Sus scrofa: one gene and its partners. The protein of the gene in region 1 purifies or fractionates together with the protein of each later gene. This does not show direct contact. Links are inferred from orthologs where the notes say so. Each region holds a gene or a part of one and is shown on either strand. Other genes may lie near its edges. The genes, in order: PRKACA, MAP2, AKAP7, AKAP2, AKAP13, myomegalin and AKAP5.

Region 1 (4,046 bases):
ACAGTGTCTAGAGGTGGCTTTTGTTGTCACAGCTGGTGGAGGAGAGGAAGGTTCTACTGACATCCAGGTGGCAGACTGGGGATGCTGCTAAACACCCTACAGGACCACTCCTCACTCCCACGCCAGCATAGACTGGTCCGGCCCTGAATGTCAGAAATGTGGCAGTGGGAAACTGTCCTCAGTATATTAAAAGGGCACCCTAAGGAAGGGGCAATTTTGCTACTCTGCTCCAGGAGGGGCCGTTCCTTTTGCATTGCCTAGACAGAGGGAATCCCCATCTTGGCTGTGCCCCATTCCTCATCTGTAAAATGGGAGTGATGATCATAGTGCCTACGTGATAGGAGTGTGGTACGAAATAACGTATTTAATGAGCGCTAGCTCACCACTGCCATGAGCCCAAGTTGGGGACCCAGTAAAAAAGGATGGCTAGTGAGCGCCCCCTCCCAACATCCCCTTGCTCCTGCAGCCCAGCATCCTCCAGAAGCTCAGGCTGTGGCTGAGAGAGACCCAAGAGGACCGCAGCCTGGCCCCGGGGCCTGCAGCTATCCTGCGCCAGGCCTTATGAATGACGACGGCCGGCGGCCGGGCGACCTATGACCCGCGGCGCCTGCTGCTCTCCTCCCCCGCTGGCAGGTGGACAGCGGCTGCGCCGGGGTTGCGGGGTGGGGTGGGGGGGGCGCGGCGCCAACCTCGGCTGGCCGGCAGCCGCTGCCGCACTGAGCGGGGGCGGGGGACTGCGGCGAATACGGGGCTGGGCGAGCGCCCGCCTGGACCGCCGCCTGGGGCTCCGAGCGCTGCGCGGCCGCCCGCCAGCCTCGGCCGCCCCGCCCGGCGGGTCCAGGCAACAGGATGAGCCTCCGCGCCCCCCCACCCGGTGGGTCGAGGCTCAGCCTGCCGCCCCGCCCGTCAGGTCCGGGCGGCGGGCTGAGCCTCCGCCCCGCCCTCTCACCTCGGGATTGACACTGAACGTTCGGCCGAGGGTTTGCCGGACAGCCAGCCTTGGCCAATTGACTGCCTCGCTGGGCGGGCCCCAGAGCCTGTCGGGAGGCTGGACCAATCAGACGCGTCGGCCCGCCCGGCTGAGGCCTCAGAAGCGCGCGAGTGGCCGGGCGTTCTAGGGGCGTGTCAGGGGCCGGGATCCTATGGCAGCACGGGAGGTTTGCGGAGGACCAATGGACTGCGGCGTAGCGCCGTCAGTCAGGGAGGCCTAGACCAATGAGCGGCAGGCTGCGGGGGCGTCACGGACAGCAGCAGCAGCGGACTTGGGCTGAGGTTCCCGGGCGGGCGGGCGCGGAGAGACGCGGGAAGCAGGGGCTGGGCGGGGGTCGCGGCGCCGCAGCCAGCGCAGCCAACCCCAGGGGCCGCCGCCGCCGCCGCCGCCCAGCGCGCTCCGGGGCCGCGGGCCGCCTCCAGCACCCGCCGCGCCGCAGCTCCGGGACCGGCCCCGGCCGCCGCCGCCGCGATGGGCAACGCCGCCGCCGCCAAGAAGGGCAGCGAGCAGGAGAGCGGTGAGTGCCCGGGCCGTGACCCCGATCGCGGCCCCGCGCTGCCAGCCCCCTCCCTGTCCATCACCGCTTGGCCCCTCCCCTTATCCCCCCCATTTCTCTCTGTTTACCCTACAGCGAACCCTTCCCCCTGTCTGTCCAAGGTTGGGGCCCAAGGCCCGCAGAAGACCCCGTAGGAGCCCCCTTGCCAAAGACCGTCCCCCTGTGCAAAGACCGTGCTCCCCCCCAGCTGTCACTGCCAACCATGGCACGTATAACCGCTGAGGCCCCACATGGGGCCCTGTCACTACCCCACTCTCTTCTTTCCTGGTACCTCTGCACAGATTCTAAATCTCCCCCCACTTCTTCACTCACCTCTTCCACACTCACCTCTTCTGCCAGTCTGGGAGTGCTGTGGGGTCTGCCTCCACCCTGCAGGGACCTTGGCCACTTGGTGACCACACCCCTCCCCCCTCCAGCCCCCGCCATCTTTCTCCTGCCCTTCCCCTCTTCACCTTATCACAGCCCCCTCCAACCCCACTTTGCCTTCCTTGAGCATTTCTCAGGGCCACCTCCAGAATTGTTTTTCCCTTCTGTGTCACTTGACATGGGGGACAGGATCTTTCTGGGTCTCTCTGCCCCTCTCTCATCCTGATACTCTCTGTCACTCTGCTCCTCTGCTTGTGCTCCCTCCTCCAAGCAAGCGTCTGTCCCTGGCTGGGGTAGCAGACTGTTTATGAACCTAGAGAACTGCTTCAGTGCTTCCAAAGCCAAGTTTGAGCTGATCTTGCTGGAAAATTCATTGCGTCGTTTTTCCTGGGTTGGGGGGTGGAGGTGTCAGCAGAGAGCCCCTTCCCATCTCTGGAAGGCTCTAGGCTCCTCAGAGGGCCCCTCAATAAATGGTTGTTTCACAACTGAGGCTTCGTCATTCACCCAGTCCCCCAGGCTTCTTGACCCGCTCCGGGCTTGGGATGAAGAGTGTCTGGCTTTAACAAGCCTCCTTCAGCTTGAGCTGGAATGGTGAGAAAGAGGACTCAAGGGATGGCAATTGGGAGGAGTAGTGGGTGACATCTAATGCCTCTCTGCCAAGGGACAAATAGATTCTGATCATTCCCAGGGTTCAACCAGAGAAGAGCCTATTTCTCCCTCAGCCCCCAAATAGTGGCCTTTTCCAGCCAGCCAGGGAAAGAGATTTTGGTATCTGGAAATGCCTTCAGAAATGGCCTTGAGCCCCTTCCTCAGTTCCTCCAGCTCTTAAATTGTCATCACTCCAGGCATAAAGCTGGACCTCAGCTAGGATCCCCTTCCAGTTACCCAGAAATAGTCAGAGCTTAAAAGGGAGGCCACATCCACATAGGTCCTTCCCATTTACTGGTCTCAACCCGCAGCGTCCGAGTTCCCCGAAGGCTCCCTCCCAGAAAGACCCAGGCATGAAAGCCAGGGAACTTGCTTCCCATCCGGATTCAAATGGCCAAATTTTAGAGTCACTGAGCAACCATGGAGAGGCCTGACAAGTCACCGAGGGGCGGGGAACGGGGAGGCAAGTGCCTGTAGCTGAGCGCTTGATGACAGAGGAGCAGGTGGGTAGTGACCAAAAAAGGTCTGGGCCTGTGCTTGGAGGGGACTAAGCAGAGGGGGAGGAGCCAGGCCCCCAGCAGGTGAGGCTGGCTGGGAGGTGGAAGGTGGAGGCAGGCAGCTGTGTATTTCAGAGGCTCAGTTGAAAGTTGGGGAGATGACATAGTCCTGAAAACTCTCAAGGCATATCAGACACATACAGTGGGGCCGGGGGTGGGGGTAGGGGTGGGGGGAAAGCCGCACAGGGAAAAGGATCCCCAAGAAACAGATCAGAGGCTCTGGAAGGAAGCGCTAATTCCCTCAGATCACTCAGGACTGGAATATCAAGATGAAGTAGAGCCACTATTTATTGGGCATCTAGGATGTGCCAGGCTATGTGGTCTCCATAGATCTGTCTGCTCAAGTGGTTTTCTTTCTTTTTTTTTTTTTTTTTTTTTTTTTTTTTTTGTCTTTTTGCTATTTCTTTGGGCCCCTCCCGCGGCATATGGAGGTTCCCAGGCTGGGGGTCAAATCGGAGCTGTAGCCACTGGCCTACGCCAGAGCCACAGCAACACGGGATCCGAGCTGCGTCTGCAACCTACACCACAGCTCATGGCAACGCCAGATCGTTAACCCACTGAGCAAGGGCAGGGACCGAACCCACAACCTCATGGTTCCTAGTCGGATTCGTTAACCACTGCGCCACAACGGGAACTCCTCAAGTGGTTTTCATAATGGGCTGTCATCCGAATTTTCTACACGTGTTCTCTGAGTTTGACATAGGTGATGCCACAGAGGCAGGATTCTCATCCAGTTCCACCTACCAGCCAACTTCCTGGACCCTGGGATGTCCTAACTCAAACATTCTCCCACCTGCCTTCCTGATTTTTTGCTATATCCACTTCTATTTTGTTAACTTAAAATAAAAAATTTGACTCATTTTTGTTCAGATATAAATCTTGATCTGTCCTGAGCAGTAGTATAAAGGAAATCATGGGATTGCTATGC
Region 2 (4,015 bases), on another chromosome or scaffold:
GTTCAAGATCCCTGAAGAGAAATACATAAAAGAGAAAACATTCCTTTAACCTCAGCAGAGCAACATTATTAGAGGAAGGGCTTCTGCCTTGAGATGGGTGTGCTCCTGGTGTTTGGTTTCCACTGAGAGGATGCCTGCTCTCTCAATGAATCTGAAGTAGCTACGATGATGAGGTAATGGCTGTGCCAGTTTCACTGGGTCATGCTCTCTCAGCACATTCTTTCTTCTTCTCCTCCCTGAGAAGGTGCTGTAAACAAGTCATCCTGGGAGATTTGCTACAGAGAATTAACAAATCCTAAATTTGAAATTCTTGAGACCTCTGGCTCTTCATTTGATAGACATAACCAGAAACTTAAAGCATCACAGACAGAGTCACAAAGAAACAGGTTATATGATAAGGAGCGGGCGGGGGGGGGGTGTCAAGAGAGGCGAGAAAGAAAATGGAAATTAATGTATTAAAAAAAAATCTTTTTCAAAAAAGGAGCTCAATTTTTAAATTGCTTAGATCTCCAGGTATATGTTAGGCAATTTTCTGTCTATTGGTAAAATAAAAACAAGCAAAAAAAAAAACTTTTGGAAATTAAATAATACTATATTGTGAAATACTAAAAATTAAGATTAAATAAACCATAGGCATAAAAACAGCATGTAGTGCAGATCCTAAAGGCACAATAGCTCTGATAATATGCAAATTGTGAATCCAGATGTAAACCTCTGTTAATCAGATAAAATGAATCAATGTTAAGATATATACACACACACACAAATATAATACTCCTTACTGAAAGACAAAAATGCCTTTAATCTTTTCTTGAGGGGGGAAATGCTTTTGCACATGAAGAGGGAATGACTGAAACATCCACAATTGTTTATAAATTCACAAAGGTTTCCAGAAAAACATATAGATACCAATTGCCCAGTTAAATGGGTGTTTTGTGTCACATTCAAAAGAAAGGCTATAATCTTCCTCTTGGGCATTCTAAAGAGCTTTTATTTATTTAATCTACTTTCATTGCCAAAAAAATTATAATTGCCCACAGTGAAATGACAGGGTTACAGAGCTATGCTTTATACTGGGCTGGTACCTGCAGCTCAAGCATGGGACATTTTGCATAATGTGGCTCACATAAAAGGCTTTGTTCTCCATCGCCTCACTGCGGCTGCAAACCCCAATTTCAGTTTTCAATCATTTCTTCTCCCAGACCAGAAAGATCATTTTTAAATAAATTTTAACATTTAAGTTACTACCTTACGGATATCCATTAATCCCTTTGTCTCACACCCAAAAATTAAATACCACCCACCAACATATGTTTGTTTGCTTTGCACTATAGATTTCATTCACACCATAACCCAAATCTTCAAGGATAAATATTTAAACATTAGTCTTCTAAGAATCCACTGCAATATTAGGAATACAGTGTGTTATATATGTGAACGGGTTTTTGTGTGTGTGTGTGTGTGTGTGTAGTGTGTACCACCATACTCCTGTGTACGCTCGCCTTTAAACAAAAACCCTTCACACTGAGTCAGTTTTAAAGAGCATTATGCTAAGGGCTTACAGCTGATGGTTCACAGCAACTTACAAATGGGCTTGTTAATGAAAGCTTTTTTATTTTCTGACAAAATCCCAAAGCCCTGATGCCAGGCAGTATAACATCAACTTCCAGTTTTCAAGGATGTTTTTTTTCTGACCCTATCCGTTTTATTACCCCCTCCCCCCTACACACACCCAAACACACACATCCTCACTCCTTGCTCCTCTCACATACTCTTACTTTAAATTTCCACCCTTAAACAAAAGACGAGGTTGGGTAGGGAAGGCACCCAGCACTACAGCCCCCCAAACGCCTTTTAGGAAGAAAAAGAAGAGAAGAGATGAACTGTAGATGCTGCTCTCCACACCAATCGGTTAAAAAGGACTATGTGGACGCTTCAGCTAATCCACACTCATTTGTTTTCTAGTGTTCCGCCCTCTGACGTTAATTCTTCATTTTCCTAAAACTATAAATATTCATCAATCTTGTTCTTCCAGCTGTTTCTGGAAGGATTACAGGGAAAATGATTTCAAATTGACAAGGCTTCCCTAACTTGCTCGCTCGTCAGTTCTCTGCAGTTAATGGACAAAAAAAAAAATCCTCTACCTCCAAATCCTGTCCCTATTATGTTCGCATAATTCACCCCCTGTCTTTTCTCAGCTCAGGTAAAATTAGCTCTCAAGACAGGTATCCTAACCCGACGTAAGTTTACGGGCGTTTCAAAGTGGTACTTACCAAGGTCACACACCCTTTAACAAATCTAGAACCCAGGTAGCAGCCCTGGTCCCCCGCTGCGTAGTAGTGACACCTAAAGAGGCCGGGCCTGAAGCTTCCGCCAGGTAGGAGACTGGGCAGCTCGGTCAACCTGTGCCTGCTTCCAAGACAGAGGACGAGACAAACCTCTCTCCATTTCACTCTTTTCCTGGGCTCCTTCTCCTCCCTCTACACAGTGGGCGAGAGAGAAGGAGAAACACCCTGTAGAACCAGAGGTGAGGTGGTGACTGTTCTCTTACCTGGGCGCAGAAACTGGATGCACCCGCGGTCGCCGCTGCCACTACTCAGGGACCCGAGGACCTAACGTCCTCTAGAGAAGAAGCAAAAGGGGAGACGGGGCAAGGGAAGAAGGAGAAAAGGAAGGAGAAAAAAAAAAAAAAAGAAAGAAACGGAAGGGAAGAAAAGAAAGAGGAGGATGCTGCTGCTGCTGCTGTCGCCGCGGCCGCCGAGAGCCCGCGCAGCCGGAGCGCCCGGCCCAGTCTGAGCGCCGCCCCGGCCGCTGGCTCCCCGCGCGGCCGCCCCGCCCCCAGCAGGCCCCGCCTCCTGCCCCCCGCAAGCCCCGCCCGACTTGGCAGCCCGGTGGGTCGCGGGGGCGGGGCTGGCGCGGGCAAAGCCGCAGCGTCCCGGAGGCGAGCACTGCCACCCCGCCTCCTGCCGCAGCCAGCCCGCCGCCCCGCGGGGACAGCGAGGGTAGCAGCTTCGGAGTGCCGGCTAAGCCAGGGCCACTTTGGGTCTGGGACTGTGAGACTCTTTCTAGAAGAATCCTCCTCCATCACCGCTACCAGAAGCAAAGTGAGATCAGCGCCGTCGGGACAGAGGGACTCAGCCGACTTCTTATCTGACGTTTTTGGTGAACTCAGAGGCGCTTCAGCTTTAGTCTCTCAGGAAGGAGTACCCCATAGACGCCTCTCCTTTCCCAGCTCTATCGCTGTGAGGGTGAGGTTCCTTGGAGAGGGCTCTCTGGTCTTGCCTCCACAAACCTTAGGACGTTCACGTCCATAAAAGACGGAGGAAAATTGAGGGGAGCATGAAAACAGAGAACTACTCTTGTGGGTACTAAAGGAACAATGGTTGTGGATTTAGAGAATTCTAGACTCTTCTGCGTCACTAATAAGATTCCGTCATTCATTTATTCATTCAACAAATGTGTATTGAAATCTATTATGTGTCAGGCACTGTTCTAGGCACTGTGGCAACATCTTAGAACACCCCCACCCCTACCACCAAAGAGGGGAAAAAAATCCTGCTTTCGTGGGCATTGCATTCTAGATAGCTAGATATATGATCCAGAGTCAATTCATTTAATCTAAATCACCTGCAGGAATGTGTTAAAAGTATCAGCTCTACCCCTCTGGTATGTTTAATACGAAGATATAATTAGATAATGAGTAAGAAGAGCCTGTGGAGAATATGAAGAATGATACAGAAGTAATGAATTAACAAGGAAAACTTCAACCTTGAAACCTGACCATTTAAAAGAATCACATCTTAAATTCTCTTGAAAGAGATGTGACCAATTGAGAAAACATGAATCTTTACCATGGAATCTTTATTATCAGAGAACAGCACTTCATTGTAAGTAGAAGAGGTAAGTGCAACTCAGAATTACTTCAAGCTTCTATATGGAGTACTAACGAGGTGTTTTTAAGTTTTGCCAAGGTAGTGAGGTATGGTCTGTGCAGTTTCAATAGTAGTTACAACTT
Region 3 (4,174 bases), on another chromosome or scaffold:
CACTGCGCCACGACAGGAACTCCAGGGAGGTATTCTTATCATACTCATTTTACAAACTAGCCGATGAAGTAACCTACCCCAGGTTACTAAGCTAGTAGGTCTTGGGGCTATAATTTGAAACCAGTTACTCAACCACGAAAACCTGCCCTTTCCAGCAAAAAGCCTGATGGAAAGTTAACAGTGTTTACGGTTCTGTAAACTGATCTGGCAATGATGTTCTTCTTACAAAAGAGGTACCAGGAGAAGTTCCTGTCGTGGCTCAGCAGTTAGAGAACCCGACTAACATCCATGAGGACGCAGATTTGATCCCTGGCCTCGCTCAGTGGGCTAAGGATCTGACGTTGTCATGAGCTGTGGTGTAGGCCGGCAACTATAGCTCTGATAAGACCCCCTAGCCTGGGAATCTCCATATGCCGTGGGTTCGGCCCTAAAAAGACAAAAAATAATATAAAAATAAACAAATAAAATAAATGTAAAAGCGAAGTGGCATAATGAGAACTTATGAAAAGCAGGGGATACCTACACTAACCTTTTAAAAAGCACATATAAAACTATATATACTTGTGCTATGTTGGCAATTACATAGGATAAGGCTAAAGGATATAAATTATTTCTAAATGCTGCCATAGTTGTACTCAATATATTTGTATTTTTCCTGTTTCTGCTATCCAAACATCTTACATAGAATTAATATTACTTTTTTTTTTTTTTAATCTTTTTAGGGCCGAACCCATGGCACACAGAGGTTCCCAGACTGGGGTGGAATCCGAGCTGGCCTACACCACAACCACAGCAACGCAGGATCCGAGCCGTGTCTGTGACCTACACCACAGCTCACGGCAGTGCTGGATCCTTAACCCACTGAGCGAGGCCTGGGATCAAACCTTCAACCTCATGGATGCTACTCAGATTCATTTCCACTGAGCCACAATGAGAACTCCTTAATATTACTTTCCGGGTACCGCGGGAATCCGGGTACCGCGGCCACATCGGTACATTAAAAAAACATTAAAAAACAATTAATGCATACATCTAAAATATATTACAAAACCATACATGAAGTATATATACACTAATATTTGAATATACATGCATTTTAGAAAATGATTTTGTCACAGACCAATAGGGGAAAACAAGGATACTTCATCCTTTGTCACACAAAATGCAAGCTTCCTATTTGGATAACAAAGTACAACTTTATTAGGCAAGATTCTCTTCAATTCACTCGACTAGGTATACAGCAGGGAGACTTCCCAAGAGCCAGTGGAAAGGGTTAATCCCATCATTCATGCTGGTCTTGGCCTAGCTACTAAAAATAGAAACATCTTACATCTGGAGAAATATTGAGCTGGGTGATAATCAACAAGTCACCTGACCTCCATGTTTTGGTTTCCACATCGTTTAAAAAATGAACGAGAAAGAGAACAAAAGTACAATCCAAATCACTATAAATACACAAAATAAGCCAATAATATCCGAAATGAAATGTAAGAAGACAAACAAACATCTTAAAGGCACATCATCAGGATTCGAACGTTGGCCATACACTAAAAGCACTCAAGACACCGGGATGTGAAACCTTTCTCTTTGACAACCCCCTATGCGTTCACTTCGGTAACCGCATCCATCTCAAAACTCCCGCTCTCAGCATCCACCTACAAGGTCTTCGCTTTTCCATTCTCTTAACTCTTGTAAACTATTGTATAACATTTTCACGCCTTTTATACCTTTTTAAGCGTTTATACTACAAAAATCTCACGGAAGAGCACCTTTTCTCTAACCGGTTTGTTGGTCCCTTTCACCAAAAGTTCGGCCTCTAACCCTCGCTCTACCCACAAAGTTCAGTTCACAGGAAATGCTGACTTAAACTAGAAATTAATTCCCGGCCCTACCGCAGATTTGGCGCCAGTTTAAAGGGGTCTTAGAATAAAATCCTAGCAGGAAATCCTAAAAGTGGTGGTTCAGGTCTTTAATTTTGATAAAGTATAAAAGTGGAGTTTTTCTAGGTTTTGCTGGCCACACAAACACTGTCGGTGGGTGTGCGTTGGCATGAACTTTCCGAAAGGTCACAAACTCAGAAAGGAAAACGAAAGCGAAATTTAGGGTGCGAAACTTAGGGTGTTTCAAAGGTGAAACACCCCCGGCCTCTGTGGCAGCAGCAGTGCGTGCACTAACTGAAAGCCTTGCTTGCAGGCACTGATCACACCCCCAGTGCACGGCTTTCTCGAGGCTACACTGAGTCCCGCGCTGAGCCGGGAGAGGAGCCCCGGAGCAGGGCAGGCTCAGGGTCGCGCTGCAAGGTCTGGGGGAGAGACCAAGCCCTCCCCGAGGCCGAGCGGGGCCCACGCCTCCAGGCTCCAGTCGCCCCACCCGGCCCGCTCGGCCGCCCGGGCTCACCGGCTCCGGGGTGCTCCATGGTGGCGGCGCTAGCGGGCGGCAGGCCTCTGCAGCCGGCGACAGCGGCCGGGCGCTGCGGCCAGGGACTGGGCGCGGGGCGGAGGCGGGAGGCGGGGCGGGGCTGGGGGCCGGGCGGCGGCGCGCTGGGGCGGAGCGGGGGGCGGTGGCCGCGGCAGGCGGCGGGGGCTCGGGCCGCGGCGACCAGGCCTGCGGAGGCGCCGAGCCCCCAGATCTTCAATCCCCGCAGGAGCTGCATGCCCAGGCCGCGCGCCCGGAGGGAGTGGAAGGGGCCGACCCGATGTGGCCGCGGTACCCGGATTCCCGCGAGCGAGGGAGGCGGGGGAAGCCGCAACTACTGCGCGAGGGAGAGAAGAGGGCTCCTCTCTGCCCGGCGACGCTCCGCCCCCTCCTTGCCCCGCCCCCGCCGGGGACCTCTAAGGTCTTCCGCTGCGCTCAGTTCTTCCCAGTGCCCGGCCTTTCCTTCCCGTGCGGAGGGGGTGAGATTGGGCCCTTAAAGAAGGAACTCCCTGGTCTGGGTTCTCCTGAGAATCCATGTGTTTGGTTTTGCAAAGAGCTTTCAAAACACAGCGTTCTGCTTATAAAATACTTGGAAAGAGCGAGATGTGCAGGAATGAGACCTTGTCAGTTTGTATAATTAGATCTTTACTTTGCACTAAAGGAAAAAAAAAAAAGCCAAAGTTCCCTTGTGGCGTAGGGGGTTAAGGATCTGACCTTGTTGCAGGTCACATCTGGATCGCTGGTTTGATCCCTGGTGCAGAAACCTCCATGTGCCTGGGGTGCGGCCAAAAGGAAAAAAAAAGCCAAGTTGTAGCAGTGTCTCAAATTTTTAACCCTGGTTTCATGCCTAGAAATTAAATGGAAAGCAGCTATTTGTGGTTGCATATTAAAGGACTGACAACTAGGGGGAAAATTTTACTTAAAAAAAAAAAAAAAGAAACTTTGGGAATTTCCATTGTGGCTTAGCAGGTTAAGAAGACGACATAATTTCCGTGGGAATGGGGGTTCAATCCCTGGCCTCACTCAATGGGTTAAGGATCAGGTGTTGGAGGCAAGCTGTGGCATAGATCTCAGATGCAGCTGGGATCCAGTGTTGCTCTAGAGTATGCCTGCAGCTGCAACTCCATTTCAACCCCCCTGGCCCAGAAGGTTCCATATACTGCAGGTGCTGCCTTAAAAAGAAAAACAAAACCTTTTGATCTTGGATCAGAATTCTACTGGAAGAGTTCCCCTTGTGGCTCAGCAGGTTAAGAACCCCACTAGTATCCATGAGGATTCAGGTTCTACCCATGGCCTCGCTCAGTGGGTTAAGAATCTGGTGTTGCAGTGAGTTGTGGTGTAGGTCACAGATGCAGCTCAGATCCCAGGCTGCTGTGACTGTGGCGTAGGCCTGCAGCTGCAGCTCTGATTAGACCCCTGGCTTGGGAATTTCTATATGCTGCAGGTGCGGCCCTTAAAAGCAAATTCTTCTGGAGTTTTCTAAGTGCAAAGAAGCCAATCAGCAAGGAAAAGTAGATTCATCTTTCAACAAATTAATAGAGACTATCTTGGGAATGATAGCACTTGCCTTATCTTGAATGCATCCTATACTGAACATGGAAGCAAGGACTTGCGCACAACCCCAATAGTTGGCAGAAAGACCCTATACAACTAGTCATAAAGCTCGTTAATCTGGTTGTAAAATAATTCTACCAAGTTGAGTGTTTGGTTGACAGGTTCATTGCAATTATGGGCTGGCTAATTGGAGAAGGACAACAGG
Region 4 (3,972 bases), on another chromosome or scaffold:
TGCCAATGTTGAGAAATGTACAAAAATAAAAATGGAACTGACATCATTCCCTTTGTTTTCAGAAGTCAATTTTCAGCATGCTCCTGTTTTAATCATTAAAATCCCTCAACACGACCTCTATCCAACTTCAATTTCATCTTTATTTGAAACATTTGTCATTACTGTGATAAGTAAGACTTATAAGTGATGACAACCCTGATAGAAATCTGGGACATGGGTGCTTTAAAAGTCCACCAAATCTATAAAGACAGTAGAATCTAGAAAATAATTATACTAATTAATTAGAAAGTCTGGGGTGTTAGCACTTTTTAAAAGTAACATTGAAAATGTAATTTCTATGTTAAATACCAAAACGTTTAGAAATCAAATAACCAGTGGGTCATTTTCCCCTCACTTGATAACTAAGACAACCTGCTTCACTTTATTAGCCAGAAATCCTGAGGTTAGTGAGTCAGAAGGAGCCACTTATGAAAGTGAAATAAATTCTGACAACACTACCCTGAACTCTGCAGGCAGGAAGCTGTCCAACTGTCATGCCAGAACTATGAGATAATGGGTATTTCAAAATGTTTGTCCCATCTCAAAGCCCAGCCATCCATCTCACACTAGCATCTCAGCATCCCAGAGATGTCTCTCTCCATTGCCAGAGAAACATCTCGATACTTAACTGAACACTCTGTTAGCTAAGGGATCTGGAGACCTAAGTAGTAGTACTTTCATTTTTCCTGGCTCATGACTAATTTTATTGGTGAAGCTCAGAATGACTGCAGGGCCCACGATGTGCCCACTCAAAGGAGAAGATGCCCTTTAAGCAAAGAGCCTATGGCAAAACTGAGGAGAGAGCTGGATGGGTAACTGTTTAGAAGATGCTCAAGGGCAAGTTTTAATTCTTAAAAGGCTTTATTTAAAGAAACCTAGTAAACTCCTTACTAAATATGCCTCATTTCTAGACATGCCACTCTGAAATTTTATTGATCAAAGTGAAGGAGGCTGCCAGAAGGAGGAGAGTGTTTAGTTAAATTGGGACCATTTCCAGGAAGAAAAGTGTGATGCTTAAATGACCTCTCTTCAGTTAGAACAAAGCCAAGGAAACAAATCGGGGGGGGGGGGGGGGGGATGACAAAGGTGAGTGATGGGTTTGTACTAATTTCTGCCCCTGATAAGATGGAAGGGAGCTTCCTCTGAGAAGCTGTTTGCAGACTCAGAGATATACTATAGAGAGATCTATAGGAGAGACAGAGACACAGGGCGGGGGGAGGAGACAGGGAAGTCTTTTCGAAGACAAATACTTTGGTGGGAGGGTTGGAGGTTCGCCCAAATTAATGGTGCAGCACTTAACTGCTACAGGGAAGAGTGCAAATTTGGCAACGTCTGACCACACAGCCCATCGAAGCCAAACCACTATTGACCCACGCGGGAAACTGGCATTACTGGGTTTAACATCTCTGTAAACGAGTCACTTTCCTCCCAGGCGCCCTCTTTTTGCGGCCTGAGGAGAGATCCCCAAGGCTGGCCATCTCGCATCCATGCACGGAAGCTCAGAAACCAGGTAGCGGGTTCCGCTCCCGTGGGTCCAGCTCCCGCGGGTCCAGCCCGCGGCCTGCCGCCTCCCTCCCCACCACCCACAGCCGCTTTGCCTTCTGCCCTCACCCGCCACCAGCACCACGGCTCCCCCGTCCGTTCCGCCTCCCTCCGCGGACTACCAGGCTGCCGGCTCTCCTGAACTTAATTCAGGCCCCTGTTCTTCACTATGTTTCTCTAGAACTGCTCCGGGCCGCCAGTATCTCCTAGCTCCTATCCCGGGAGGTGCGCCGCCTCGGCGATTACAGAACAGTTTGCCCAGCGCTCACCCACCTCGATCCGCCCCTTCGGCTCTTCACAGTGTCCCCACAAAGGGGCCAAAGAGACAAACCCTCAGGCTTTATCCGGGATAAAACACCAGATCCTAAGAAGTGGGGTCTCAGCCTGAGGCCAAACTTCCAGGCTCAGCTTGGATCCGGATCCCCCTCCTTCCGCGCACAGAACGGCTGCTCCCTCCTTCCTCAGCATCCCCCACCTCCATCCCGATCCCGTTCGGAAGGAGCTCGGGCTGGTCAGGGCAGGGACCCAGCCCTTCTCGGTCCCAATCTCCATGCAGAAGCTCTAGACTTCCAAAAAACGGCCGCAGCGCTGCCACCTAAGGAGTCAAGACCCACGCCTTCATCTCGAACTGGAATGGGTGGCTCCATCCACCGCGGCTCCCGGGTCTGGAAAGGCGGCTACAGCCTTTTGATTTTCTCTGCTTTTCCTCAACAGCCCGGCTCTGTGAGTGTGTGTTGCGGGGGGCGGGGGGAGGAGGGTAATATGCCTAAGTTTATTTTTTAAAGTATATATAAGTGAACAAATACTGATTAAAGGAGCCAAAAGCTGGCCCTCCCCCAAACCTAGGAATTCAAAGCCACATGGCCACATGGCCATAGCCCTTTCCAGCCAGGCCACCCCCTCGCACACGCTCCACTAAGCAAGGGACATAAAAGCCCTTTAAAGTCCACGGTGCTTCCAAGGGCTTCCCAGATCACCAATCCCTCCTGGGCCACCCTTTCCTAGTGTGCGAGGCCCCAACACCAAGAGAGCGCCCCGAGGACTTGGAGTCCGGAGCCGCCCGCGCCCCAGCTTGGACACCCACCTCTGAGCGCCGGATCCCGGGGGCACAGTCCTCGGGCTCTGCTCCAGCGCGGTGCGGCCGCTGCCTCCTCGCTGGGGCGTCCGGGAGACTCCACGCAAAGGCGTTCGGCAGCCCCTGGCTGGGGCGAGCGCATCTGCGGAGAGCTGCTGCCGCGGGGCGTGCTGGAGTGAGCCGAGCGCCGCCCGCCGGCTCCCGGAGCCCGCCCCTTCCCCGCCCCCTTCCCGGCGCCTAGGGCCCCGGTCCGCCCCTCGCCTTTCACATCCCCTCCCCAACCACCCACACCTTCTGTCTGGCTTTGGCGGAATCTGTGCACAAACGTAGAAACCAAGAAATGAGTGAATGGATAGACTGGAGGAATGGAGGGATGGGCACGTGCAGCCGAGCGTTTCCTAACTGGGGAGAAGGCTCTGTGCCTGGGTGTATGAACGCGCGTTAGCACACGGGTGGGCGTGTCGGCTTGTGTGCAGGGGATCGTGTGTGTTGGTGTATACATACGTGCATACGAGTGTACAGGAAAGTGTGTGGGTGCGTGTGAGCCCGCACATCGCCACAACTGCTGAGTTCCCATACGAGGGGTCGAGCTCCTCGTCTCTTACCCAGCACCACGACTATGTCCGGGTAAGCGGAACCGCTGGGAGCGGTTGGGAGGTGCGTTTCTGCGACCCGGAGGGCGGTTCAGTGTGTTTTGGACCTCGCCCTGATGGGGTCCAGAGACTAAGGTGTGGACAGGGAGGTTTCCCAGCTCGTTGACTGGCCAGAGCTGTCATGATGCCCTCCCTAATGTGGCAGCCGGTGGCCTGGTGTCGGGGCGTGCGTGTTAACAAAGCCAGCGATGGGGAAGGAGGCAGCTGTTACACCTCGTGGGGCTCAGTCGAGGGGGTGGCCAGCCACCCCCCACTCCGGAGACGTCTGAAATTTCAGCATGTAATCCCCTCCCCCTCATGAATATTTAAATAATGTTAATGACCCTTTGAAAACGGACCATCTAGAAATTCTGAGAGAGGACACACACACAGAAACACCCCGCCCAGAAAACAGGATTTTAAAAAGCAAGGCGTTCTCTACAGAGGAAATAGAATATAAATATAGCATAAAGTCAGATGTCTCCAACTGTCCACTAGGCATGACCGGTGTTTCCATTTTCCCGGTGATTCTCTCTCTCCAGCTCTGAAAGTCAGAGCCCCTTACTCTCCTTCCAATTTCCGACCTCTGGCCTGCTTTTTTCTGAACCAGTGGCCCAAACACGGGGTTCCTCTTCTGAGCGTCAAAGTCACCTGCCAGGGTTTGGTTCTTTTTTTCCTCATCCA
Region 5 (3,500 bases), on another chromosome or scaffold:
TGGTGGGGTCTCCGCAGGCTGGACAGCATGCGCCTTCCCTGGAGAAGCACTCTCTAGCTGTTCAGTCTCTGGGCCTGACTCGGAAGGACTGGACAGGAACACATGACTGATCTTCCCCTCTGTCATCAGTGCTCCCGAGGCCTTGACTCGCTCTATGACAGCATCCACTATACGACTAGCAGCCTCCTCGATAGAGCCTGCTTTCTCAGGCGGCAGCGCAACTTCAGCAGAGACAGCGCAGAGCACAGGGACAGCACCCCTTTCCCTGCCTTGGGCCTGGTCACCACGGCCTGGGGGCCCTGTCTCTGTGGGGGGATCTTTGGCAACAGGCTGCAGCGGGATGTGATACGCTTCCTCACCCCTCTGTGCCTCCTTGGAGTCGCCCAGACTACAGCTGCCACCTGCTCCCTCCACCTTCCCCTTCTCCCGGCCCAGTGGTTCCAGCTCTGGGATTGCGGTGTCCTCAAGACCAGTCACACCTTTGTCTAGTAAAGCTCCTGGCACACCCAGGATCATATTCTTCTCTGGGCTCAGTGAGACTGGTGGGATCGGCATGTCCTCGGTGTGATATGACATATCCTTTCTTCTGGCCCCAACGGTGCCTTGTAGGGCACTGACCATGGCACCATCCAACGCCACATTTCCACTCACCTCACAAGCAGTGGTCTCCTGGGACTGAGTGCTTTTCACTCCAACATCCAGAGCAGGAGACTGACTGCCGTTAAGAGTCTCAGACCCATCTGGTAACAGACTTGGCAATGGAGGTGAGCTGCTGTGCTCTGCACCCAAGGCTTCCTGGCTTGAGTCTGCAGCCAGACTTGCTCCTGGTAGCACCAGGCTCTGGGCAGCCCCACCTTCAGTCAGCAGTGAGACTGGTGGGGCCACTTCCTTGTTATGTTTAGTTTCTGCATTAAGACGAGCCAAGGGTGTGCCCAGTGAATTACCGTGCTGAGGAGCTCTATCCTCAGCACAGGCAGCTGAACTAGGTTCTTCACGGAATCCCAGGGCCTCTTGTCCAGGAGGTGGTATTCTCTGCTTTTCCTGCAACGTTCCTGCACAAAGGGTGTCTTCCTTAATGGAGGAACAGGTCACTGCTTTATCCTTGTCATCTGGTCCCCGAGCTGCAGGGCTTTCTATAACCACCTGACTTTCTCCTTCTTCAGTCAAAACAGAATCAGAGGCCAAAGTGGCCTGACCCGCATGTAGTAGTGAAGAGTCAGCAGCCCCCTCGATATTTAGGACTTCAGGGGCTGCTGAGAGGCAGGGATCCTCGTCCTCCCCACCAAGTCCCACGGGACTGGTATTCCCCATGCCAGGCTGAAGATCTAGAGCAGAGGAGTGTAGACACAGGCCTGTTGCACTGTCTTCTGGTGGCTGCTTCTCCGGATCATTCAAGTCTCCGTCTGGGCCATCTGTACAATCTGTATGTGGTTCAAGAGTTGCTGTTCCCTTTTCATTCTGGGAGGGGACAAGAGAAAGCGCGTCATCTTTGGTTACTGATTCACTGCCGGGACTGCCTGCCAGAGAGAAAGTCTTGCCTGATGTCCCTGCGTGGTCTGACACCCACTCTTTCTCAGCTTTGGAGACAATTACATGTGGATGTGGGACTACCTCAGGCATATCTGTTAAAGATGTTTCTAGTTTCAAATTTTCCCCTTGGCTTTCTTTATCCAAAACTTCGAAAGGACAAAAATCCACATGTTCCTGAGGGTTTCTCACAGGGTGAGCCTTTGGGCCTTCTGAGCAGCTGGCAGTGGGCAGGTGTGTGCTGGGCAGTCCTGTGGTGGTGCTTTCAGGCTTGGTAACTATGTCATCACGGTGTTCTGCAGCCAACACACCACTAGAAGTCACCATGTTCTGTTGGCATGTGGAGGCAGCACAAAGTTTATCAACTCCAGTTGTAGAACAGATGGGTGATATATTGTTTTGGCTTTGAACATGAGATGAATCTGTTTCTGATTTCTGGTTTAGTATAACGTCTTTTTGTGGGCCGGTAAAGGTTAAATCAGAGGGTAACACTGCCACACACGTGCCTGCTAAGGGAGTGTCAGGTTTGAACCCTTCTGAAATCTCGTCTTTTGCAGCAGTTAGAATTAACTGAGAGTTCTGAGCTCCTGGAGTATCAGTACTCTCTTCACAACTTCTAGACATTTCAGTTTCTACAGTTTTTTCAGTGGCAGTTTCTCCATTACTAACTGCAAATAAAGACTCAGCAGGTTTGTCAGCATCCAGGGAACCTGCAGCAGAGACACCGTTTAGAACACTGGCTTTATCCACAGGCTCATCTGTGACTTTTAGGTCAGAGGCTCCGGCTGTGCTGATACTAGAGTCCTCAGATCCTTCCTTTGTACTCCCCTCTACTTCAAGCATATTGGTCTGGATGGTGGCATCTGGGTTCATGAGACCAGGTTCCATTTCCCCTGCAGTCTCTGGGACACAGGCATCTGATGAACTAACCACTAGTTCACCTGCAGAGAAAGGTTGGGCTGTGCCAGGCTTCATGACCACGCCTCCCTGCAGGACACTGACTCCACCGCCTGGAGACTCCTGGTCCGTGGCCACTGCTGAAGATTTTGTTCCAGTGTCTTCATTTCTGATTCCACAGGATGGAAGACCTTCTGTGCCCTTTCCTTTGCAATCAGGTGTGCCCTGAAGGCAGCTGTCAGGATCAGACATAGTCCCAGAGTCCACAAAAGGTGCCGGCTCCACCTCATCTCCTTTCTCCGGGCTTTTATTTTTCTTGCTACAGAAACAGTCTGAATTGTCCTCCTTAACTCCACTTGATAAATCAAAGGAAGTTTCAATCTGCCCCATTGTGCTCCCATGGCAGCACTGAGAGCTCTCTGCATCTTCAGGAGAAGCATGCTGCTGGCTGACTGGGGGCTCTGATGCACAGGGATGGTCACCGGGCAGACTTGAAGGATCCTCTGCTGTCACCATTGAAGGCTTAAGACTATCCATCTGCTTCAGGTTTGTTTTCTAGGAGGAAATGGAAGATATTTTTTAAAAACTGTCCAGTGGAAAATATGTCACCTATAAGCAACAATTCTGTTGGTGAGAACTCACTGGCATTCCAGCCCTTCTAAGATCACATGAGAAATCAACCTAAGTAAACACAAATAAATTCTCTCTTGTTCTTGACATCAATTCCCCATGCCAGGCTGAAGATCTAGAGCAGAGGAGGATTTCCTGTAAATTATTCCCATACCTTACAGGTGGCTTTGGCATCTGCAAACTGCTCTTTTCATCCAGTAAGAAGAGCTCTAAAGGAAAACCTGACCTTTTGGCAGTCCCTTCAGAGGAAAATAAAGTGAGACCTGTTCTGGAACAAACATGATTCAGAGAGGCAGAGGCAGGTGCATCACACAACCTTGCTATGGAGTCTCTTGGCTTGCTGGTCACAGAAATAAAGCCTGCTCCCAAAGAAGCCTCAGGCATTGAGCTGACCCTAGATGCCCTTAAATGAAATTACTGCCGAGCTTTTTCCAAATCAAGTCAAC
Region 6 (4,105 bases), on another chromosome or scaffold:
TTGGGGAGTGCTGCAATCTGTAGAAGTGGGGCTGAGAATTTCACTGACTTCACTTAGTATCCTGTATTATTCAACATTATCCAGTAGTAAGACACCCACCCTTGGGTGTAGAACTTGGAATGCACGCAAAGAAAGGAGGGAAACTGGAATTCTGTCTAGGTGAAACTGAGGTGTCAACGTCCACTTACAATAAAAAACTCTCTCCCTGGCTTGAGAGGTATCCAGCTTCCAGATGGAAAGGAAAACGGACCCAAGTAATCATTTCCCCAGAGCAGAACATTTATTCCCCAGTTACAGTAACCCTAGATTTCACTAACTTGACCTTGTAAAGTCAGCAACAGTCATAAATATTTCTGAATCTCATCTCCAGGACAGAGCCCACGCTTCTAAACCTGGAGACATTCAGATACTTTTTTTTTTTTTTTCCTTTTTTTGCTTTTTAGGGCCACACCTGCCTCACATGGAGGTTCCCAGACGAGGGGTCTAATTGGAGCTACAGCTGCTGGCCTACATACACCACAGCCACAGCAACAGCAACGTGAGATCCGAGCCATGTCTGCGACCTACACCACAGCTCAGGGCAAGGCTGGATCCTTAGCTCAGGACAAGGCTGGATCCTTAGCCCAGTGAGCGAGGCCAGGGATCAAACCCACAACCTCATGGTTCCTAGTAGGAATCATTTCTGCTGCACCACAATGGGAACTCCTCAGATACTTTCAATGAAAGCTCATAATAAACCCCCAAACTTCTTATTGAGGATTAAACGAGATGATTTGGGGGAAGTGCTTTAACAGAATTTGGCTCACTAAATAATAGTTAATATTATTTTAATATTATAATAATGGGACTATTTTAAAGTAATTTTAAAGTTTGATGGGGGCTCTGCACATATGAAGTTTTATTGCTCTTATTTAATCATCAAGACAACATCTTATCAGCTCCATCATGAGAGATAAGGTCAGTCCTTAGAGCTTTGGGTTTAGTAGGGTACAGAACTTCACATCTGTGATTTCACCTAAATGTGTAGTTCTGACCCCCAAACCAAGAAGGTAAAATAGAGTTCCAAGTAAAACTCACTACAGTGATAAATGAGCTTCGGAGTCAGAAGAAATTAAGTAATAATCTTTGGAATCTATAGTGCTGTACAGAGAGGCAAAGAGTTTCTGGACTTCCACGTCACTACCCTGCCCTACCCTGTCTTAAGTGTTGTCCTAAAGAACAGCAAGGACTCAAAAGACCAAAAACTGCAAATTAAGACATTAATCGAGGCCTCATCTTTGTTAATGCAAGCCATATTTTCCCAATGGGGAAAATGCTAATGAAACAAAGTGCTCTTCAGGAGCAAACTCTAAACAATACTTTGTATTATTCTCTATTACTTAATAAGATTTTGCATCTAACTTGCAGCCTCTAGACTTTAATGACAGTATATAGCTAGTTGACATACAAGTCAGTACTAATGGAGAAAAGGCAATTTCCCATCAAACAATATGTTTCTTCAGTGGTAAAGATCAATATAAATAATTTTAAAAAATGGTAAAGGTCAACATACTGAAAGAGAGCTATACATATCTAGGCTTTCAACAACAGACAGGAATAAATCATTCAACAATCAAAAAAAATCTGAAGATAGCACTCTTCACTCTCAGAGAAAATATTTAGATCATATCTCAAAACAGATAGTAGACTACTAGAACTACTCCTAAAGTGATCATTTGGTATTATAAAAAGATCATTTTTGTATAATAAAACTTGGAAAGAAAAATTAAAAAATGAAGAAAAATTATAAAGTAACAATTCAGTACTTTATGATTCTTATCAATATCGTCTTGGTCAAGATTTTGTATTTGGTTAACACTGGCTACCTATGGGGAGGCAAGCAAAATAGGGAGCTGAACAGGAACATTTACTTTTATTCTATATATCATGTATCATTTGAATCTGGGGCATGAATCTATATTCATATATTATTTTTTAAATGCTTTAAGGTTAGGAAATATTCTATAGTTAAAATGAAGAACTGTGCCAATTTAAGACTTAGAGTCTAAGTGGTAAATCTTGAACCTAAAATGAGAATTTTTCTAAAATATGATATATATATTATATATGTGGACAACTTATATAAACAAAGGTTCACAGGGATATACAAGTTACTAAATCATGATTATGTCTGGAGAGTAGGATTATGGATACCTTTCTTCTTTCCTCATTTGTATTCTATAATTTTCTATAATAAGTATGGATTGATTTGTGATAAGAAAAATATTACTAAGAAAAAGGTAGGATAAACACATTTTCATATATTCACATAATGTAATATTAACCACCAATAAAAAAGAATGAATTCTGATATCCACAACATGAATGAATCTCAAGTGTCTTATGTGAAACAAGCCATTTCAATACATCCTGTGTGATTTTTATTTGTCTAACAGTTTAAAGTCTAACAATTTCTATAATGATAGAAATTCCAAAAGTGGTTATGGGGGGTGAAATAAGGTGAGAATTGGTTACAAGAGGGCACAAAGGAACTTTCTGGACTGATTAAAATGTTCTATTGTTTTGGGTGATAGTTACATGGATGTGTACAATTTTTTTTTTTTGTCTTTTTTTGTCTTTTTGCTATTTCTTTGGGCCGCTCCCGCAGCATATGGAGGTTCCCAGACTAGGGGTCTAATCGGAGCTGTAGCCACTGGCCTACGCCAGAGCCACAGCAACGCGGGATCGAGCCGCATCTGCAACCTACACCACAGCTCACGACAACGCCAGATCCTTAACCCACTGAGCAAGGGCAGGGACCGAACCCACAACCTCATGGTTCCTAGTCGAATTCGTTAACCACTGCGCCACGACGGGAACTCCGGATGTGTACAATTTTAAAGCTCACTGAAAATGCTTTTTCTGTAGATTTTATCCGTTGGTATAGTTCAATTTTAAAAGATTAAAAAGGTGTAAATAATTATAAAAATATATATAGCCCACAAAGTTTAATCTGAGGGATTAAAGTAACCCTCATTCTATCATAAGAATAGCTTTGAAAATTGGGAAGATTAAAATATAGCCCAGAAGAAATTTGATGAAATGTTCAATTGTGACTTTAAATTTTCATAGTTTCTATCCAATGATCTTGGAAAATATTATTTTATATACATATACACACCACACATTTATTTATTTATTTTTTTGCTATTTCTTTGGGCCGCGCCCGTGGCATATGGAGGTTCCCAGGCTAGGGGTCCATTCGGAGCTGTGGCTGCCAGCCTACGCCAGAGCCACAGCAACGCGGGATCTGAGCCGCATCTGCGACCTACATCACAGCTCACAGCAATGCCGGATCATTAACCCACTGAGCAAGGCCAGGGATCGAACCCACAACCTAATGGTTCCTAGTCGGATTCGTTAACCACTGCGCCACGACAGGAACTCCCCACACCACACATTTATAATAGAAACAAAAAACATATTGTTAAGGTGAGACATAAGGCTTTTGTGATGATTTAGAACAAAATAAATACTTCTAAAACTTATCAGAAGTACATAACAAGGGAAAATTTTACTGAGAACAAGTTTCATATTATGATAACCTATAATGAATTAGACAAATGATTAATTTTATATACATGCTTTCTGCCCTCACAATGGATTGATAAGTGCATTCATAAGCACGTGTCTGCTATCTGTCCTAAGTCAAATCGCTTATATCGGGCCCTTAATTTCCTAACCTACAAAATAAAACAATTAATTTAAACAGTGGGTTTTAGTCTTTGGCATGCATCAGAATCACCTGGAGGGTTTGTTAAAGATTTAACAAGTTTTAATTCAGTTATTCTGAGAAGGGGTCCAAGAATTTGCATTCCTAGAAAATTCCTGGGTCAAGCAGCTGCTGCTGAGAACCAGACTTTGAAAACTACTGAATTAGAACTCTCTTATTAAACTGTATTCAGACAAATCTTGCCAAAAGATCAAAGTTCTGCAGATAAATGGAAAACCAATTAATAAAGAATTACATACAAAATTGTTGAATTTAGAGAACTATCTTCCCATTTGGAACAAGATTCCTAAGTATTACTATAACAGGGATCTTTTGCACTATCTCTATTTTGAT
Region 7 (2,893 bases), on another chromosome or scaffold:
AATATGGGGGGAATAATTTTACACTTCAGCAAAGAATCTTACCCATTATCTTGTTTGGTTCCAAAATCAGATAAGGTTCTTCTGCCAGATGTCTCAATATGTGCTTACAGGAAGAAACAAAGATTCTATGAGACAAATTAACACATACTTTGTATATGCAGTCCAAACGAATGCAAAAAGTCACCAGATTGCTTGAAATTATCTTATGTACATTCTTTTCGCCAAGAATGTACAAATATCTTTAATAACAAATACCCTACAACTCAAGTGAAAGTTGTCATTACTTCATCTGCTGTCAGAGTGACACTGTCACTCAGTTTAGACAGTAGGGAACAACATGGACCCTGACCTGTGAGGTAGGGAAGTGCGTTGAAGTATTATGGCCATTTCACACAAGGAAAGGTTGCAGTAGGTTGACTTTTTCAAAAAATATGGCAATCATTGAGAATGATGATTTAAATAACTGAATAAAATGCAAACAAGCCCTTCTTGTTATATTCTTTTTTTTTTTTTTTTTTTTTTTTTTTTTTTGGTAAGAGAGTAGCTGGACTGAATCAGTACTGATGAAAAAGTTCATTTCCAATATCCAGAGTCTCTCAACACTTTTCACTTTCTATTCAGCCATGTTCTTGGCTCATTCTTGGCCAAGAATGAATAATATTTTCACTAAAATGTTATGATTTCCTAGGACTTTTACGCCAGGCTGGCTTTGAATCCACTCTCCCCTCTTTGGGGAGAGATCAATGAATGTAGCCTCTAGCGATTTAATCTTGCGAGAGGAATCCTATGGTATCCGTGATAACTTGTCACTTGGGAAGTTCACCTTCTCCTGGATGGAAAGTAATATTCCATTTTTGGTTTTTGTTGTTGCTATTGTTTTTGTTTTTAAGTTTTCAGCAGGTGATTCTATGTATAAATGGATTTGTACCTGTCTGTTTTGAGCAGAAGGAAGATGGAGAGGGAAAATATACTCCCTGTTTCCACACCTTTGTATTTGATAATTATTTGCCTGTTTGAAGTAATTTGTGAATGGCTTTTGTAAAGGACTTAAGCAAGACTAGAAAACCAGTCATGTTTAATCAGTTTTTCTGCAGTATTTTTTTGAGGTAAGACTACTGCCTAGGAGTGTAACAAACTGTAAGTCACACATTCACAAAAATAGTTCACCTTATTCATTTTAAACAACAGAAAAGTACACTGTAAAAAAAAGTTGTTTTGTTGGAAGCGAATGTGAATGTTAACCTATACACAAGGTTGAACTATCAAAAGGAAACCTGGCTTTGTGACATCAGAGGATGTTAAAGAGCTTATGGCATATATGGCAAGTGCACGGAAAATCCATCTTCCTTCTCCCTAGCATCCCAATCTCCACCTGCTAAGCAACTCCCTGGATGTCACTTCCCATTGTAATCTGTACTGACTTCCTCTGATCCAGAAGTGGCTACACTTCAGTGGTAGGGAGGGTTTTACAACTTAATTCTTTAGCACTTCTGGACTAGAATTGGACCTTTAAATTCCACAGATGCTAAATCTCTCATTTGTTACTGAATAAGGAATGCCACAAATATGTAAATAACTCACCATTAAGCTTTTCTTTCCTCCCATGATCTAGAAATTAAATCACTGTACAAGATTGTTTATTGTATTATCATCAGAGGCCATTTCATTAACCAGCTGTTCTATAGACAACTGGATAGCATTCTTGACAAGAGAAGAAGCTGTTTCTATTAAGAGTGTTTCATATTGTTCTGAAGTTCTACCCTCAAAGCCACTATCATTAGCAAAAACCCCTACTTGCTCACTTTCAATTGAAATTAGGAATTGCTTAGGGACATTTTTAGCTTTCTTAACATCAAATTCACTGATTTCAGTGTCTGTGATAATAATAGCAATTGGCTCCATTCTTTTGCTTTCTTCTGGTTTGGGTTTTTCTGCAGTGATCTCATTTTCTTGAAAATCTGATTCCTGGCTCAATTCAGTATCTTTTGGCTTACTCTCCTCAGCTACAATCTCTCTACTTTCGTGGTCTTTCCAATCTGGTCCACTTTCTAGGATACTGCTTCTGGCTTCTTCCACAATTTGTTGATCTGGGACTGCAGGTAAGGGAGGAACATCAGAAACCACTGGGAGGGGATGTTCTATGTCTGAGGTTTCCAGTGGGCTCCCTTGCTGAGGATGAATGCTTGGTTTTTCTTCAGTCGTTTCAATATCTTTTTCAAGGATTAGCGTTCCGGTTGGAATAGCAGAATGCCCTGTACCTAACTCAAGTTCTACTGAAATCACTTTTTCTCCAGGAGAAGTTATGCTCTTGTTCACATTTGATTCACAGACCTCATCACCATCTTTCTGTGAGACATCTTCCCTTATATCCAGAGTTGACTTGGTTTTTGTTGCCTGGTCATCCAACTGGACTGGAGTTTTTATATCCAAACTTTCAGCCTCTTCCTGGACTTTAATGCTGCAGTCTGAGTCTTCTATAATTTTGGAATGATTACTTCTTTTCCCCCCTTTTGAGAATTTTATGCAGGGAATCTTGAGTCTGGATTTTGCCTTTTTCTTAGAAAGATCAGCATCCTTGCTTTCAGGCTGCACTTTAGCCTTACAGGGCTTTTGCTGCTTTGAAGAATCTGATCTTTTCCTGCATGTTATAAGGCGTTTGACTGAAACCCAGGCTCCCCCTGGGGGCTGTGGCTGATCAGAAGCTCCCGCTTCTGGGGGAAATTTCCTTGCTGCCTCAGGAGCATCAGAGCCAGCTTTGGGCTTCCTTGCTTTGGTTGCCTTCTTCCTTCTCTTGAAGCAAAGCATCGATGCTTTTTCCTCCTGCCTCTCATCCTGAGGACTAACTTCTGCTGATCTCTTCTCATCCTTGCTTTCTACTTGTATTTCAGAAACT

Evidence for each region.
Region 2: the proteins of PRKACA (region 1) and MAP2 purify together in Homo sapiens (affinity purification with mass spectrometry; 3 studies listed by BioGRID and IntAct, with this or other methods). This does not show direct contact. The link is inferred for Sus scrofa from reciprocal best matches to the Homo sapiens genes PRKACA and MAP2.
Region 3: the proteins of PRKACA (region 1) and AKAP7 purify together in Homo sapiens (affinity purification with mass spectrometry; 4 studies listed by BioGRID and IntAct, with this or other methods). This does not show direct contact. The link is inferred for Sus scrofa from reciprocal best matches to the Homo sapiens genes PRKACA and AKAP7.
Region 4: the proteins of PRKACA (region 1) and AKAP2 purify together in Homo sapiens (affinity purification with mass spectrometry; 5 studies listed by BioGRID and IntAct, with this or other methods). This does not show direct contact. The link is inferred for Sus scrofa from reciprocal best matches to the Homo sapiens genes PRKACA and PALM2AKAP2.
Region 5: the proteins of PRKACA (region 1) and AKAP13 purify together in Homo sapiens (affinity purification with mass spectrometry; 3 studies listed by BioGRID and IntAct, with this or other methods). This does not show direct contact. The link is inferred for Sus scrofa from reciprocal best matches to the Homo sapiens genes PRKACA and AKAP13.
Region 6: the proteins of PRKACA (region 1) and myomegalin purify together in Homo sapiens (affinity purification with mass spectrometry; 5 studies listed by BioGRID and IntAct, with this or other methods). This does not show direct contact. The link is inferred for Sus scrofa from reciprocal best matches to the Homo sapiens genes PRKACA and PDE4DIP.
Region 7: the proteins of PRKACA (region 1) and AKAP5 purify together in Homo sapiens (affinity purification with mass spectrometry; 6 studies listed by BioGRID and IntAct, with this or other methods). This does not show direct contact. The link is inferred for Sus scrofa from reciprocal best matches to the Homo sapiens genes PRKACA and AKAP5.

The regions. Positions count from the first base shown.
Region 1 is NC_010444.4:65,073,630-65,077,675, forward strand, and holds the start of PRKACA (cAMP-dependent protein kinase catalytic subunit alpha), read left to right. Parts: upstream 1-1,246; 5' UTR 1,247-1,462; coding exon 1,463-1,508; intron 1,509-4,046.
Region 2 is NC_010457.5:112,155,369-112,159,383, reverse strand, and holds the start of MAP2 (microtubule-associated protein 2), read right to left. Parts: upstream 2,801-4,015; 5' UTR 2,552-2,800; intron 1-2,551. UniProt on the Homo sapiens protein: The exact function of MAP2 is unknown but MAPs may stabilize the microtubules against depolymerization. They also seem to have a stiffening effect on microtubules.
Region 3 is NC_010443.5:32,359,349-32,363,522, forward strand, and holds the start of AKAP7 (A-kinase anchor protein 7), read right to left. Parts: upstream 2,801-4,174; 5' UTR 2,654-2,800; coding exon 2,398-2,653; intron 1-2,397. UniProt on the Homo sapiens protein: Probably targets cAMP-dependent protein kinase (PKA) to the cellular membrane or cytoskeletal structures.
Region 4 is NC_010443.5:251,066,564-251,070,535, reverse strand, and holds the start of AKAP2 (A-kinase anchor protein 2), read right to left. Parts: upstream 2,801-3,972; 5' UTR 2,666-2,800; intron 1-2,665. UniProt on the Homo sapiens protein: Binds to regulatory subunit (RII) of protein kinase A. May be involved in establishing polarity in signaling systems or in integrating PKA-RII isoforms with downstream effectors to capture, amplify and focus diffuse, trans-cellular signals carried by cAMP.
Region 5 is NC_010449.5:88,067,384-88,070,883, reverse strand, and holds part of AKAP13 (A-kinase anchor protein 13), read right to left. Parts: intron 2,980-3,500; coding exon 1-2,979. UniProt on the Homo sapiens protein: Scaffold protein that plays an important role in assembling signaling complexes downstream of several types of G protein-coupled receptors.
Region 6 is NC_010446.5:100,731,319-100,735,423, forward strand, and holds the start of myomegalin, read right to left. Parts: upstream 2,801-4,105; 5' UTR 1-2,800. UniProt on the Homo sapiens protein: Functions as an anchor sequestering components of the cAMP-dependent pathway to Golgi and/or centrosomes.
Region 7 is NC_010449.5:88,541,938-88,544,830, reverse strand, and holds the end of AKAP5 (A-kinase anchor protein 5), read right to left. Parts: coding exon 1,621-2,893; 3' UTR 501-1,620; downstream 1-500. UniProt on the Homo sapiens protein: Multivalent scaffold protein that anchors the cAMP-dependent protein kinase/PKA to cytoskeletal and/or organelle-associated proteins, targeting the signal carried by cAMP to specific intracellular effectors.